2 linked regions of the Saccharomyces cerevisiae S288C genome follow. The protein of the gene in region 1 purifies or fractionates together with the protein of each later gene. This does not show direct contact. Each region holds a gene or a part of one and is shown on either strand. Other genes may lie near its edges. The genes, in order: MNN5 and YGL140C.

Region 1 (5,845 bases):
AGAGACTTGTATCCAATTCTAAGAACATGCTACCGCGAGAAAACTCGCCGGCAATTATTGACATACCATCATGAAAGAATATTTGACGATATACCATCTTTTTTCCCCCAGCGTGACTTTATTTTCAATTACTACTCGATGCCTCTTGAATTCGACAGGTTGTCAGACGTAGATATAGATTCGTCATCGCGGTCACGATTTACAGATGAGAGCACTGGAGAAACATTAAACCGTTCACCAAGCGCAGCGTCTTCGTCGTTGGAAAACACATCTTGGTTTGGCTGGACTTTACTTTCTAGGTTTTTGGACAGAGAATGGTAGAAGAAAGTTAGATACCCTCATTCTAAAACGTTGTCCGAACACCATCAGTTAGTTTTTTCTTGGTTTCATTTTTTCATTTTTTTCTAAGATGTATATATATCCGTGCACATATATGCTACATTATATTATACAAGGTCGGATGGCGAGTTATTATTAAATTATTATAGTTAATCACTTCATTAGTTTTTCTCCCCCATAGCTTCTTTGTGTGTGCTCTCCAGATAATTAACATGATTGGTCAAATACTCACACATTGCATCCCATTCTGGGGTATTAACTTTATCGGTAAAATACTTGAATTTAATAACTTGGCTTTTCGGAGTGGTACAGAAGGACCCCCTCATATCATTGAATAAAAACAATTCAAAATCCATTCCATAGCGATGCGGCTTCCTGAAGCCCCGTACTTGTTCGCCATTTGGACCGATAAATCTGTTTTCATGATAAAGAGTCCATGGATCTGCCTTGTAGAAACTGGCATGAATGAACATGATATCCAAATCAGAACCGTCATCATTAACCATCAAAGTTTTCAAGAAACCATTGTCCAAAGTATAATCTGGATCCAGTTTGGAAAATTCCTCAATGTTGGCTTTAACTTTCTGCTGCGCCTTTTGGTATTGCTTGTAATCTTGTTCAAAATCATGCTGGAGCAAGGCGAGACCCTTGTAATCATCTTTTTGATAGAAGAAACCATCAAATTCAAAGTTAGTCCTCACTTGATAGTATGGCATATTCAAGGCATGGGCAGCAGCGACGAAAGTGTCTTTGTCACCTTCACCGGCAGTGCCTTGAGAAATCATCTTATAATACCAGGTAGGCCCATAAACATTATAGTATAGCGCCAGTAATAGAGTGTTGAAATGGCGAATCTTATCAATCACCATCTGGCCTGATTCAGAGCTCAAGTCTGGCATCGTGCCGTCCAGATCATGTAAGGGAACATGTTTCAGGAAATGCTCCTGTCTCTCCTTTGGAGTGTAATCGTTTGAGTTACTAACAAATGGATCATAACGTGACACGGGGGAAATATCGTCACTAACAAAACGGACTCTTTTGCCGATGTTAATGCTAGATCCTATAATGTTGTAAAAGGCGGGAGGGGTGACACGTCTCCAAAAATCGGGCCACAATATCAGGCCAGTATCGTTGAAGGATGTAGTGTTAAAAGCAAGGTCAAGGTTTTTCACCGCATAGTTATCTGCGTCCAAGAAGATAATACGCTTGAAACTGGAAATTATCAACCCAAAGACTTTCAACTGGAAGTGCGTGAGTTTTAAATCGCTTAATGGCTTTGAAGGAACGATATCTGAGAAATAAATGCACTTACCATTGAATTTCGGCAACCAGTTCTTACAAAAATCATCCTCGCCTTCGTCCTGAGGCGGAATGATGACTTCAATAGGCAATGTAGTACCCGTGTCCCTCAACTTTTTGATCATCGTATACGCGAGCACAGAATACTTTCCACCTCCAATGGTGACAATGCCCTCAGAACCTGAGAAAAGTGCCTCTCTTTGTGGGATGGAAAAATTCAGTTTCCCTGATAAGGTGTCTGTAAACTTACTGTGCACTTCTCGTAGGCTTTCTTGTACTGTTTTATTCAAATTATAGCATTTACTCAAGCTCTCGTAACTTAAGTCACTATCGTGTCCAGAGTCGTGTGCAGCAACGTTATTTGCAAAGCTACACCCTTCCGCCCCATGCAACTTACTCAAGTCCGGAGACGAATCTGCCGGCTTGTTTTCCACGATGGCTTGTACCAGTGTTGTGTAAAAATTGTTTTTAAGGTTCGACCTTGTTAGAACCGGCAATCTAAGCTTTTTACCGTATAACCAACTAGAAGACACATCATTATGCACAGAACAAAAAAATAAAATTAGCACTACTGCGCTCACGATGACCTGCAGGATTTTTCTCTTCTTTAACCTAATCAGCATTGTAACCTGAACTATTAGTATATCCTCTTGTTGTGCTAGGAACCAGTCGTAAAATAAAAATTTCCAATAACCGTGAAAATGCTTTTTTCATATCTGCGTATATATAAAACACTTTAAAGCCGTGTTGATCCTTTAGTTGTTACACTTTTTTTTCCCCGCCGATGAGAAAGTGAAAAAAAAAATCCGCAAGAACGGGGAAAAAGATAAAAGAAGGCACTTATCTCTCTGAACTCTGCACCGAAACATGCATCTGTCGTCTATTCCGACTTGGCAACCAAAAGAAGCCCAAGAGCTAGTTGCACTTAAATCAGTAGAATCGTGAGATTGTTTATTATCTTACTTCTGTTAGAGTGCTTCGCTTTCCATGCATCAAACTATGGATTTGTGCTGATCTTGCAACCATCGTCCTCTAAGGAAAGAAATGTGGCACCTTTAAATAGGTTCCACCTCACAGATGCCAACATGTGGGAGATAGGGGGCTATTCGCAATTTATTAACGTCTCTAGTACTGGTAAGCCTTTCTAACATTCTTGTGGTCACGTGATGTGTATGTTTCTTTTTTTTATTCCTCCGGGTGATAACGACGCGAAAAATATTTTTTCATTTTTCTTTTAACCATCACAATTTGCGACGCGACGCGAAAAAAATGCAGAGAAGTAAAAGAATGCTGGATAAGAAATCAACAACACAGTTGAACATTGGCGTGCCCCTGTGTATTAAGTAAAGGTTGTCCAAGAGGCTCTTTTTTGTATGTATGCGTGTGTTAACTATCCTGCACATCATCTTGCGCAGTTAGTCCAATAAAAAAAGGATTACTACTGAACAGGTCTTACTATTTTTGATTGCGTAGTGCTGGGGAAAAGTAAACACACACAGGCGCACACGAGAACAGATGAGTTCTTTGGACGAGGATGAAGAGGACTTCGAAATGCTGGACACGGAGAACCTCCAGTTTATGGGGAAGAAGATGTTTGGCAAACAGGCCGGCGAAGACGAGAGTGATGATTTTGCTATAGGGGGTAGCACCCCGACCAATAAACTGAAATTTTATCCATATTCGAACAACAAATTGACAAGAAGTACGGGGACCTTGAACCTGTCATTAAGTAATACAGCTTTGTCAGAGGCTAACTCCAAATTTCTTGGGAAAATTGAAGAAGAGGAAGAAGAGGAGGAAGAAGGCAAGGATGAGGAAAGCGTGGATTCTCGTATTAAAAGGTGGTCTCCGTTCCATGAAAATGAAAGTGTTACTACTCCTATTACAAAAAGATCTGCGGAAAAAACGAACAGTCCTATTTCTCTCAAACAATGGAACCAGCGATGGTTTCCGAAAAATGATGCTCGCACTGAAAATACATCCTCATCCTCTTCATATAGCGTCGCTAAACCTAACCAATCAGCCTTTACGTCTTCGGGCCTCGTATCTAAAATGTCTATGGACACTTCGTTATACCCTGCGAAATTGAGGATACCAGAAACACCAGTGAAAAAATCACCCTTAGTGGAGGGAAGAGACCATAAGCATGTCCACCTTTCGAGTTCGAAAAATGCATCGTCTTCTCTAAGTGTTTCCCCTTTAAATTTTGTTGAAGACAATAATTTACAAGAAGACCTTTTATTTTCAGATTCTCCGTCTTCGAAAGCTTTACCTTCCATCCATGTACCAACCATAGACTCATCCCCACTGAGCGAGGCAAAATATCATGCACATGATCGTCACAATAACCAGACAAACATCCTGTCTCCCACTAATAGCTTGGTTACCAACAGCTCTCCACAAACATTGCATTCTAACAAGTTCAAAAAAATCAAAAGAGCAAGGAATTCGGTTATTTTGAAAAATAGAGAGCTAACAAACAGTTTACAACAATTCAAAGATGATTTATACGGCACGGACGAGAATTTCCCACCTCCAATCATAATATCAAGTCATCATTCAACTAGAAAGAACCCTCAACCTTATCAATTTCGTGGACGCTATGACAATGACACTGACGAAGAGATCTCCACTCCAACAAGACGAAAATCTATTATTGGGGCAACATCTCAAACACATAGAGAAAGCAGACCATTGTCACTCTCCTCTGCCATCGTGACAAACACAACAAGTGCAGAGACGCATTCCATATCTTCCACCGATTCTTCGCCGTTAAATTCCAAAAGGCGTCTAATCTCTTCAAATAAGTTATCAGCAAATCCAGATTCCCATCTTTTCGAAAAATTTACGAATGTGCATTCCATTGGTAAAGGCCAGTTTTCCACGGTCTACCAGGTTACGTTTGCCCAAACAAACAAAAAGTATGCAATCAAAGCCATTAAACCAAACAAATATAATTCCTTGAAACGCATATTACTGGAAATTAAAATACTAAACGAGGTAACAAACCAAATTACAATGGATCAAGAAGGGAAGGAATACATCATCGATTACATCAGTTCCTGGAAGTTTCAAAATTCATACTATATTATGACAGAATTGTGCGAAAATGGTAATTTGGATGGATTTTTACAAGAGCAAGTTATCGCAAAGAAAAAAAGGTTGGAAGATTGGAGAATTTGGAAAATCATCGTGGAATTAAGCCTGGCTTTACGATTCATCCATGATTCTTGTCACATTGTGCATCTGGACTTGAAACCCGCAAACGTCATGATCACATTTGAAGGTAACCTAAAACTAGGTGACTTTGGAATGGCTACTCATTTACCGTTGGAGGATAAAAGTTTTGAAAATGAAGGTGACAGAGAATATATTGCACCAGAAATCATTTCTGATTGTACGTACGATTACAAGGCAGATATTTTTTCCCTGGGTCTGATGATTGTTGAAATTGCAGCGAACGTTGTGTTACCTGACAATGGCAACGCATGGCATAAGTTGAGATCGGGTGATTTATCGGATGCAGGAAGATTAAGTTCCACAGATATTCATTCTGAATCATTATTTTCAGACATTACGAAAGTAGATACAAATGATTTATTTGATTTTGAAAGAGACAATATCAGTGGTAATAGTAACAACGCTGGCACCTCCACTGTTCATAACAATAGTAATATCAACAACCCTAATATGAATAATGGCAACGATAATAATAATGTCAATACTGCCGCTACCAAGAATCGTCTTATTTTGCATAAAAGTTCTAAAATTCCCGCATGGGTACCGAAATTTCTTATTGATGGTGAATCACTTGAGAGAATAGTACGATGGATGATAGAGCCCAATTATGAGAGAAGGCCCACGGCAAATCAAATCTTACAAACTGAGGAATGCCTGTATGTAGAAATGACACGCAATGCAGGTGCTATTATCCAGGAAGACGACTTTGGACCTAAGCCAAAATTTTTTATATGATAAATGGAACAAAAAACCTTGTTTTATTTACATACTTTTTTCCCACACGTGCTTATGGGCCGCATTGTATAAATAATCCAATAACGAAAAAGAGTGTAATTGCAGTCCGGTAGTAATACCATGTAAAACCTTAGATGAGTTTATTTTAAGTACAGCCGCTTCAAGCATTTTTATTTTTATTTTACAGATGTAGCAGATAACAACCGTTAAATTATATTATATATATATATAT
Region 2 (7,683 bases), on another chromosome or scaffold:
CCTTTGGAAAGAAGTTCTATCGTCCTTAGCAGGTTTAAATCTTAGATCGGGGTTCTTTGAGAAAAGCATCATACCAGCGAATGCCAATATCATCATTAGTAAAATGAACGAAAATGCAGCGTTCATAATGAAAAATATCCATCCCATAATAGCAGCCACTTTGTAGCTTTGGTTAAACAAGTCCGAAAAAAACATGAATAGAAAGGAATTAACTACAGTAACAGTAGCAATTAAAATATTCATTATGTTTGTTGGACGGTCCAGATAGGGCTTATAGTAGATAATAGCAACGAAGTAAAACAAATCCAATATGAACATGAAAAGAACTTGTGTTTGACCAGAAGCCTGAGCAAATCCAACCAATAATGATTTTACAAAAATGTAGGATAAAAGAACAATGTTCCACCAGTAATGATTGGCATTGAACATTGTATAGAAAAATCCGTATTTGTGTAAGACATATTCATCTCCATACAATAAGGCTGCTGGGTTGTTGTACAATGCAACAGATCTTCTTGCGAAAAAAACAGTCCTCCATGCAGCCCAAAGCATTAACCCACATGACAAAAGAATAAAAAGGCATGCGATGACGATAACAGCAGGTGAATCTCTTTCAGTAAATTCCCAAAAACTGAGAATTGTTAACTGAACGAAACCGATGTAAATATATCTTAAAAGAGCACCTTTTAAGATCATTCTCCATTGTTTCCTGAATTCCCAAAACCTTGCCTTTTGGATCCATCCTAACCGGGTGGCTAACTCCACACAGCATTTGAATACTATGATAAATCCAGCCAACACATATCCACATAAGACGAAGAAAGTAAAACCGGTACAAACGATGGACGTATTTTCGATTCCCATTTTATAGCCTAGCCTTTTGATTCCTCTAAAAATTAATGTATTTGCATTACCATACAAAACATTGGTAGCTCTTTTGATTAATGGGAGCTCCATCAAATATTGCCAACTTCTTTGAGCCAAAACAGACATAGATGTTGAAGTCAGATATAAGCTAGGCGTACCACCAGTGGATTGCACATACCACCGGAAAATCCTTTGCATGAATGAGATTCTAATTAACCCCATTGACCAAACCAAGTTTTCCGCCCAGGCGGCTGCAATAGGCGGAACTCGATGAACATGTTGCATGGCAACCACGACAACAGATTGGAAGTATAAGAAAAGTGACATTGTGTTGGCAGAAATATGTGAGGCTGCGGTAGAGTTCCCAAAAGTGGATAAGATGGCAGATAGTAAAAGACCAATTCCCGCTACCACTGCAGTTGCCCATTTTACACCAATCTGAGAAACTGTTTTACCGTTTGAGAAGTATATTTGGATACATGCTAGGTACTCGCTCACATTGTTGGTGATCTTGACCCTGGCATATGCGTCGATATCGGGGACTTGGTATGCAATACCAGGAATTTCATTTACGTACTCACTGGAGATGTATTCAATAGAGTCGATCTGAATATTACCTGGGTGAACCGGGCAAAACTGTTTCCAGTTGATTGAACAAAGATCGACATTTTTAGTAATGATCTTGAAACCATATGCGTAGACATCAATATCAGCAAAAATATATGAATCAATTTGAGTTGACATATCAAGATCATAATGTAATGACCTGTCGTCTGGATTGAAAACAACGTCAAAACTATTTGCTGACAGCTGCGAGTTTTCCATACATGTGACCAATGATGTGGCTACCAGCTTCCTTTTTGCCTCTGCAAGATTTACTTTACTGGCTAACAATATTATTAGTCCAATTAATGCCGATGATTTATAAACCTGAAGAAATCTCATGCCTGTGAGGGGTATACTTTTCTAGTCTCCACTATTTGTTGTTGTTGTTGTTGTTGTTGTTGTTGTTGTTGTTGAAATTTTTTTATTTATGGCCCGCTCGTAAATAAAAAGACCTTTCTTAGCTATACTTTGCAAAGAAGTTTTCTAGTACCCACCAATGTTGATTGGCACTCTATAACGAATGACGTCTTCGAATTGTTTTGTTGTCTTTTGAGCGTTGATCTTCTGGAAAGCGGATGAACAGAAGCGTTTTTGAGTTAATTTGATAGCGTCCGTAAGCTAGTAAATGGCACGGACAGCAACAGTATTCAGATATTCTTTTATCCCCAATCCCAACGAAGACTACCTTTTCATAGTCAACAGTTAAAGGAATCAACTATTTGAAGCTAAAGCGATGGGCCGCTGCTAGGGAAAAGGAAGCAACCATTACCCTCCTCATAAAATTGATAGGTCTTCAAAAGGCTGAGACTGATAAGAACTACCAGTTTGATGTCTAAAGAAAGAAAAGAGAAATCCAGGATCTACCTTCATCTCTATTAACACCTGCTATCGAGAGGTTATAATTGTGGTTGTGGCCTAACTACGTATCATACACTATTTTTACTTTATTCCTATCCTATCCTGGAGTTCGAAGAGAACATATTTTCAAGCGAGAAAATCTTCCTTATCCTTTGCATCAATTGCTTGACTTCATTATTTGTCCATGTCGCTTAAATCAAAGTTGACTAAGATTCAGAAGTTATGGCTGTATTATTTCCCCTGTGACAGAATCCTCGCGAAGAGAATATGTAAATCGACTGTTAATACTACGGTAGCTTTCATATTTTGCTTGATACCTAAGATAACTGCGCATTTGGGAGCAGCTCCTGCGATGCTGCCAATGATTTCTGTTATTGTTCACCCTGGAAGAAGGGTCGGGGGTACTATCCATGGTGCTATCTATTGCATAACTGGATTGATATTTGGCCTAGCTTACGCAATCTTCGGCCGGTTCCTTGCGCAGCGATGTTTAGGGAGTTCTTGGCATGAGCTAACAGAGGCACAGCAGCACGTATTGCACTATAAAAGATATGAAGCGGGATTAGCAATTTTGGCTGTTTTCGAAGTAATTATGCTTTTTTTTCATGGTTGGATGAGATCTGTATCACACTATTACTTTGGTATTGTTTTCCCACTTTTTGTCGTGGTTCATTTCGCATTTATGGATCCTTTGAATGAAACAGCAGGCACTATTGCTAAAGCTTATAGTACGCCTTTCTACCTGGGTATTGCAATGTCGATTTTCTGGAATCTTGTGTTGTTTCCTGAGTGGGGTACCACATATTTGGGTAATACGACTATTGATGCTATGAATGAGCTCCATAAGTCCATTGACTATTCGATAAATTTCTTCATTGCAGTTGACCCGCACAATAGTAGCCAGTTGTACAGTAGAGATCCTGTTTCGTTAGGCAAGCTATTGAAGATGAAGTCACTGATTTCTTCTAAAGTTAACAACTGTCGAGTAGTACTTCACGAGTGCATTTATGAGTTTACTTACGCTTATGTTTCGCCAACTAAACTAAAGCCAATCATATCTACTTTGGAAAATTTGACAGTCTTCATTAATGGATTAGTTAATACATGCCAATTAGAATTTATTTTATTGGCAAGACATGATAACAAGCTCAGGCCTGATGATGTCGCAGCTTTGACACTGCCAAAGAACAAAGAAATCAGCTTTGCAAATGCTGAGAAGTTGTTGAAAGTTATTGACAAGTTGCATCCAGTGATTTATAGTCTACACCGGACAATGAGTGAATGCATGTACATAGCAAAGTTGGTACTTGCTCATGCATTTGATGTGAAAGTTTCAAGGGTTCATTCCTGCTCAATGTTCAAAGATGGTAACTTCCCAACATTCAGTAATAACGCCAATAATCTGCCCAATGATGTTGACATCCAGAACAAGATCAATGACCTGAAGCAGGCGTTAGAAGAATGTAAAGCAAAATTCAAGTCAGAAATGTTAAGTTTTGATATTGATATTATGAGTCCTAGTGATGAAATGTTTTTGTTGTCTAGCTTTCTACTAAATTTTAGGCAAACTGCAGATTCAACTTTGGTAATTATGGAGTCCGTCAAGGACATTTTAGTCAAACGTCAAATACAAGAGAAGAAGGGCTGGCTGAGAGGCAAAAGACTTTGGTTTTTAGTGTTGACCAACTACGAGACATTTTCTATCTGGTTAAAAGGCGATAGGAACTCAGTGACTGAAAATGATACATTAAAGGGTACGTTCAATGGTAATACTAATGGTTTTGCTCATGACACAGTTATTAGAAGGCCTGATTATGAAGAGAATGAACTTTTATCTCAAAAAGTTTCATCGAATAAGAACATTGTAAAAGATGATGCATCGCTAGATCTGCCAATGACAAGTGAACCCAAAGGAAATTCATCTTCTACCTCTGACACTTCTTCGTCGCCATTAACGTTAACGAAAACAACTACGTTCGGAACTAATAGAACTTCCAGGAGGCAAGGCAGATTTTCTTTTATGTCCATGCTTATTTCAATTGATAAGTTTTGTGAAGTGTCACATCCTCACTTTAGATTTGGATTTCAGGTAGCCATTGCATTAATGCTGGCTTCATTTCCGATGTTTATTCCAAAGACAAGGCAGTGGTACATAGACTATCGTGGTACCTGGATTGGTTTCGTGTGCATACTTTGTTTGGAACCTTCCGTAGGAGGTACGTTCTGGGTCTTCTTTTTGCGTGCTGTGGGGGTTATTTTTGGAGCAGCCTGGGGTTATCTTTCCTATGTTGCTGCTGTCAACCAAACCAATCCATATTTGGAGACAGTCATCACAGTTTTTGGAGCCATTCCTGGGTTTTACTATTTATTAGGCACACCCTATGTGAAGGCTGCAATTATTGAAATTATTAGTATTTATATTGTTATGCTTGCAGCAATACTTCCCTCCCAAGATGATATATTGACTAGTTTCGCCAAGAGATGTTTAGCTGTCGGCTATGGTGGAGGGGTAGCATTAATAGTTCAAGTCTTTTTCTTTCCATTGAAGGCACGGGAACAATTAAATGAAGAGATTTCTTTTGTCTGTGGCTGTATATCGGAAATGGAACTTCTCTACGCCACCGGACTGGAAGGAGAGCAAGTCGCAAGTAGTATGAGTGAAGAGAAATACAAAAAAATCGAAAAGATATCAAAAAGTGCTAAAGAGGCGTTAGCCCGTGCTACGGCCTATAAAGGACTAACCAGACAAGAGCCGAGATTAAAGGGTGAATATACCGAGTTGGAAAATGTTTTCACTCAAGTTATATTTATTCAGAAGCAAATAATAGAGAGGATAGATACAATTTCCTTGCTGAGAAAGCAAAATGGAAGTGCGGTTATTGAAGAATTTAACAGTGTTGTATATCCATATCGACGCCAAATGGTTGGAAGTATTTCTTGCCTAATGAGAGCACTTCAAGAGGCATTTATAAATAAGACCCCGTTACCGCAATTTTTGCCCAGCGCAAGAATTGCACATAGAAGGCTGATTAATAAAGTGCGCCAAACTCTGCGAATAAGATATCCTGGGCAGATTTCAAATTTAAGTGATAAAGCAAGAAAGCCAAATGAAGGAGATTACGCTGACGGCAAGGATGAAGATGACGATGATAACGAAGGTTTGGTAATGAAAATGAATAGAAGGGGACAGGCCAACACAACAGCTAATCCTCATGAATATGTTTTAAAAGAAAAATTTTTAAGTTGGAACGCATCTAGTGCTGCATCGGAAGAAATAATTGAGTATATTGAAGAGCTGTTGAATTTAACTAAAATTCTGGTCGGTGTAAATGAGTTTAAATACGGGTTTTTATCGCGTCCACTTTACGAGGACTGGGCTGCAGAGGCAGTAACAGGATTTGATAATTTCATTAACGGGAAAAGCAATCCTATGAATACACGGCGCAATCGGACCCCATTTGATGGTACTTCCATCATTTCCGAAGGAAATGAAAGTTTACAAAGTACAAATTCTAATGAATCTCAAATTTCTCCTGATTCCACAAGAAGTTATGAGCCGGAATGTCCAGTGGCATACGAAAAAAATGATAATCCGGCAGCGTTGAATTTATTACGGATTGCTTCTCATAAAGCAGGCCAAAACGCGGATGGCTTACCAAAGACATTTAGAAATAGAGCATTTTCCATTACTTCTACCTCCGGCCAACTTTCAAGCTTAAGCAGACACAGCACCCTTGGTAATGCGGATCCTAATTATCTGAACGATGATGATGAAAGCTCTGATGATGATTTGCCATTAGCTTTGAAAATGGTGCTAAGTCACATGAAAGAAAAGAAGGACTAAGATATTGAAAAGTCCTAATGTAAGATAATTACCAATTTCATATTCATTGTCGATTTCACTTCGCTTAAAGAATTTTTACTGTTTGTTTTTTGTAAAGCCTTTCCAATAAAAAATAGAATGATAGATAAAGGTCATAACTAGAATGGTGGCGAACAAAGCAAAACTTAAATTATCTCTGCATACAAGCGTATAATTTCCTTATCTATAGTAATATATAAGAACTAGAAATCTGCCTATTAATTAATTACCTCCCTAATCTTCTGGGAATTATGATAAGTCAAACCTGGCGCCTGAGTTTATTGCATATAATAATTTCTCTCTCAAAATTGTTTTGTTTCTATAATCTGGCAATTTTAATAAATTAACACAGGTAGATGCCGTAGGCAGCCTGTATTTCTCTGTCCCTGCATTTCTGATACCAAATTTTGGATCTAATGCCTTGAAGCCTTGCAGAGGAGCTTGCGGAACGGACGTGACAAATTTCAAAAAATTCAATTTCTCTTCAAACTTAAACTCATTCAAAACCTCCCAAAAATCAACAATTGTCTGATCTTCTTCTTTATAACCCCCGTATTCTGTGTTAGATTTCAGATCGTCTAAATCGATATTATCTCTCTCACCTGATATTAACATTTGTAGTTCTATAGAGTTAAACATCTCCATCCAATGTGGGGCAATGATAACACTGAGCCCTCCATGGAATGCCGAAACTGGTTTGAAGCATCTTTTGTTTAATTTGTAATCCGTTACTTTAGTAACGTAGAGCAACACATTATCCTTCGTCACGTACGTTTTTGAACCATTCGGAATTAAGTCAACAACTTTTGCGGAACTTTCAGGCTCATCTATTTCAAAGGTTAAATCTAAAGACTTGATCTCGTCAGTGGTCATGTTCAATAATTTGATCAAATTATTATACAACACCGAATCATAGCTTCCCAGATCAGAAAAAGAAGATAAAAACCCGTTCGAGTAATTCAATAATTTTTTCAAAAAGAAATCAGCAAAAGATACATCTATCAAAACATGCTCATATAGACATTTGCCTACAACCTTTCCCAGAAACCATATATACTTAAGTTTCGTAGCGTCATAAACAACAGAAGGATATAATTCGTAGCGATCATTCGTCCGAAATAACTCGTGCTTTGGATCTTTAAATCCTTCATCAGACACAGTAGTTAAAAATTCCTTGGTAATGCCGCCCCCATCAATACCAGCTTCTTCACCAAATTCATTAATAAAAGTAACATCTAATGAAGCTTTGAACCTTTCTCCTATAGAGTTAAATGCGTTGAAAGCATCTTCTAAGACATTATCCCTAGAGATGATAGCGGATTGCTTCCTCATACCGGTGGAGGCCCAGGGGGTAAACATATTGATCAAGTTGTGATCGTCATCTAAAGATAATCGCTTCTTGTCCAGTGCGATGAACATATAAAATAAGTCCACCCTTTCTTCAAAAGGAATAAAAAATGGTAATTCCAAAAGTATTTCCAACTTTCGGA

Evidence for each region.
Region 2: the proteins of MNN5 (region 1) and YGL140C purify together in Saccharomyces cerevisiae (affinity purification with mass spectrometry, with the first as the bait; one large-scale study listed by BioGRID). This does not show direct contact.

The regions. Positions count from the first base shown.
Region 1 is NC_001142.9:76,571-82,415, reverse strand, and holds MNN5 (alpha-1,2-mannosyltransferase MNN5), read right to left. Parts: upstream 2,262-5,845; coding exon 501-2,261; downstream 1-500. Other genes in the region: ATG36 (Atg36p), read left to right, coding at 1-321; tyrosine protein kinase SWE1, read left to right, coding at 3,154-5,613. UniProt on the Saccharomyces cerevisiae protein: Responsible for addition of first and second mannose residues to the outer chain of core N-linked polysaccharides and to O-linked mannotriose. Implicated in late Golgi modifications.
Region 2 is NC_001139.9:239,845-247,527, reverse strand, and holds YGL140C (uncharacterized protein), read left to right. Parts: upstream 1-2,515; coding exon 2,516-6,175; downstream 6,176-7,683. Other genes in the region: FLC3 (putative flavin adenine dinucleotide transporter), read right to left, coding at 1-1,812; ubiquitin-ubiquitin ligase HUL5, read right to left, coding at 6,443-7,683.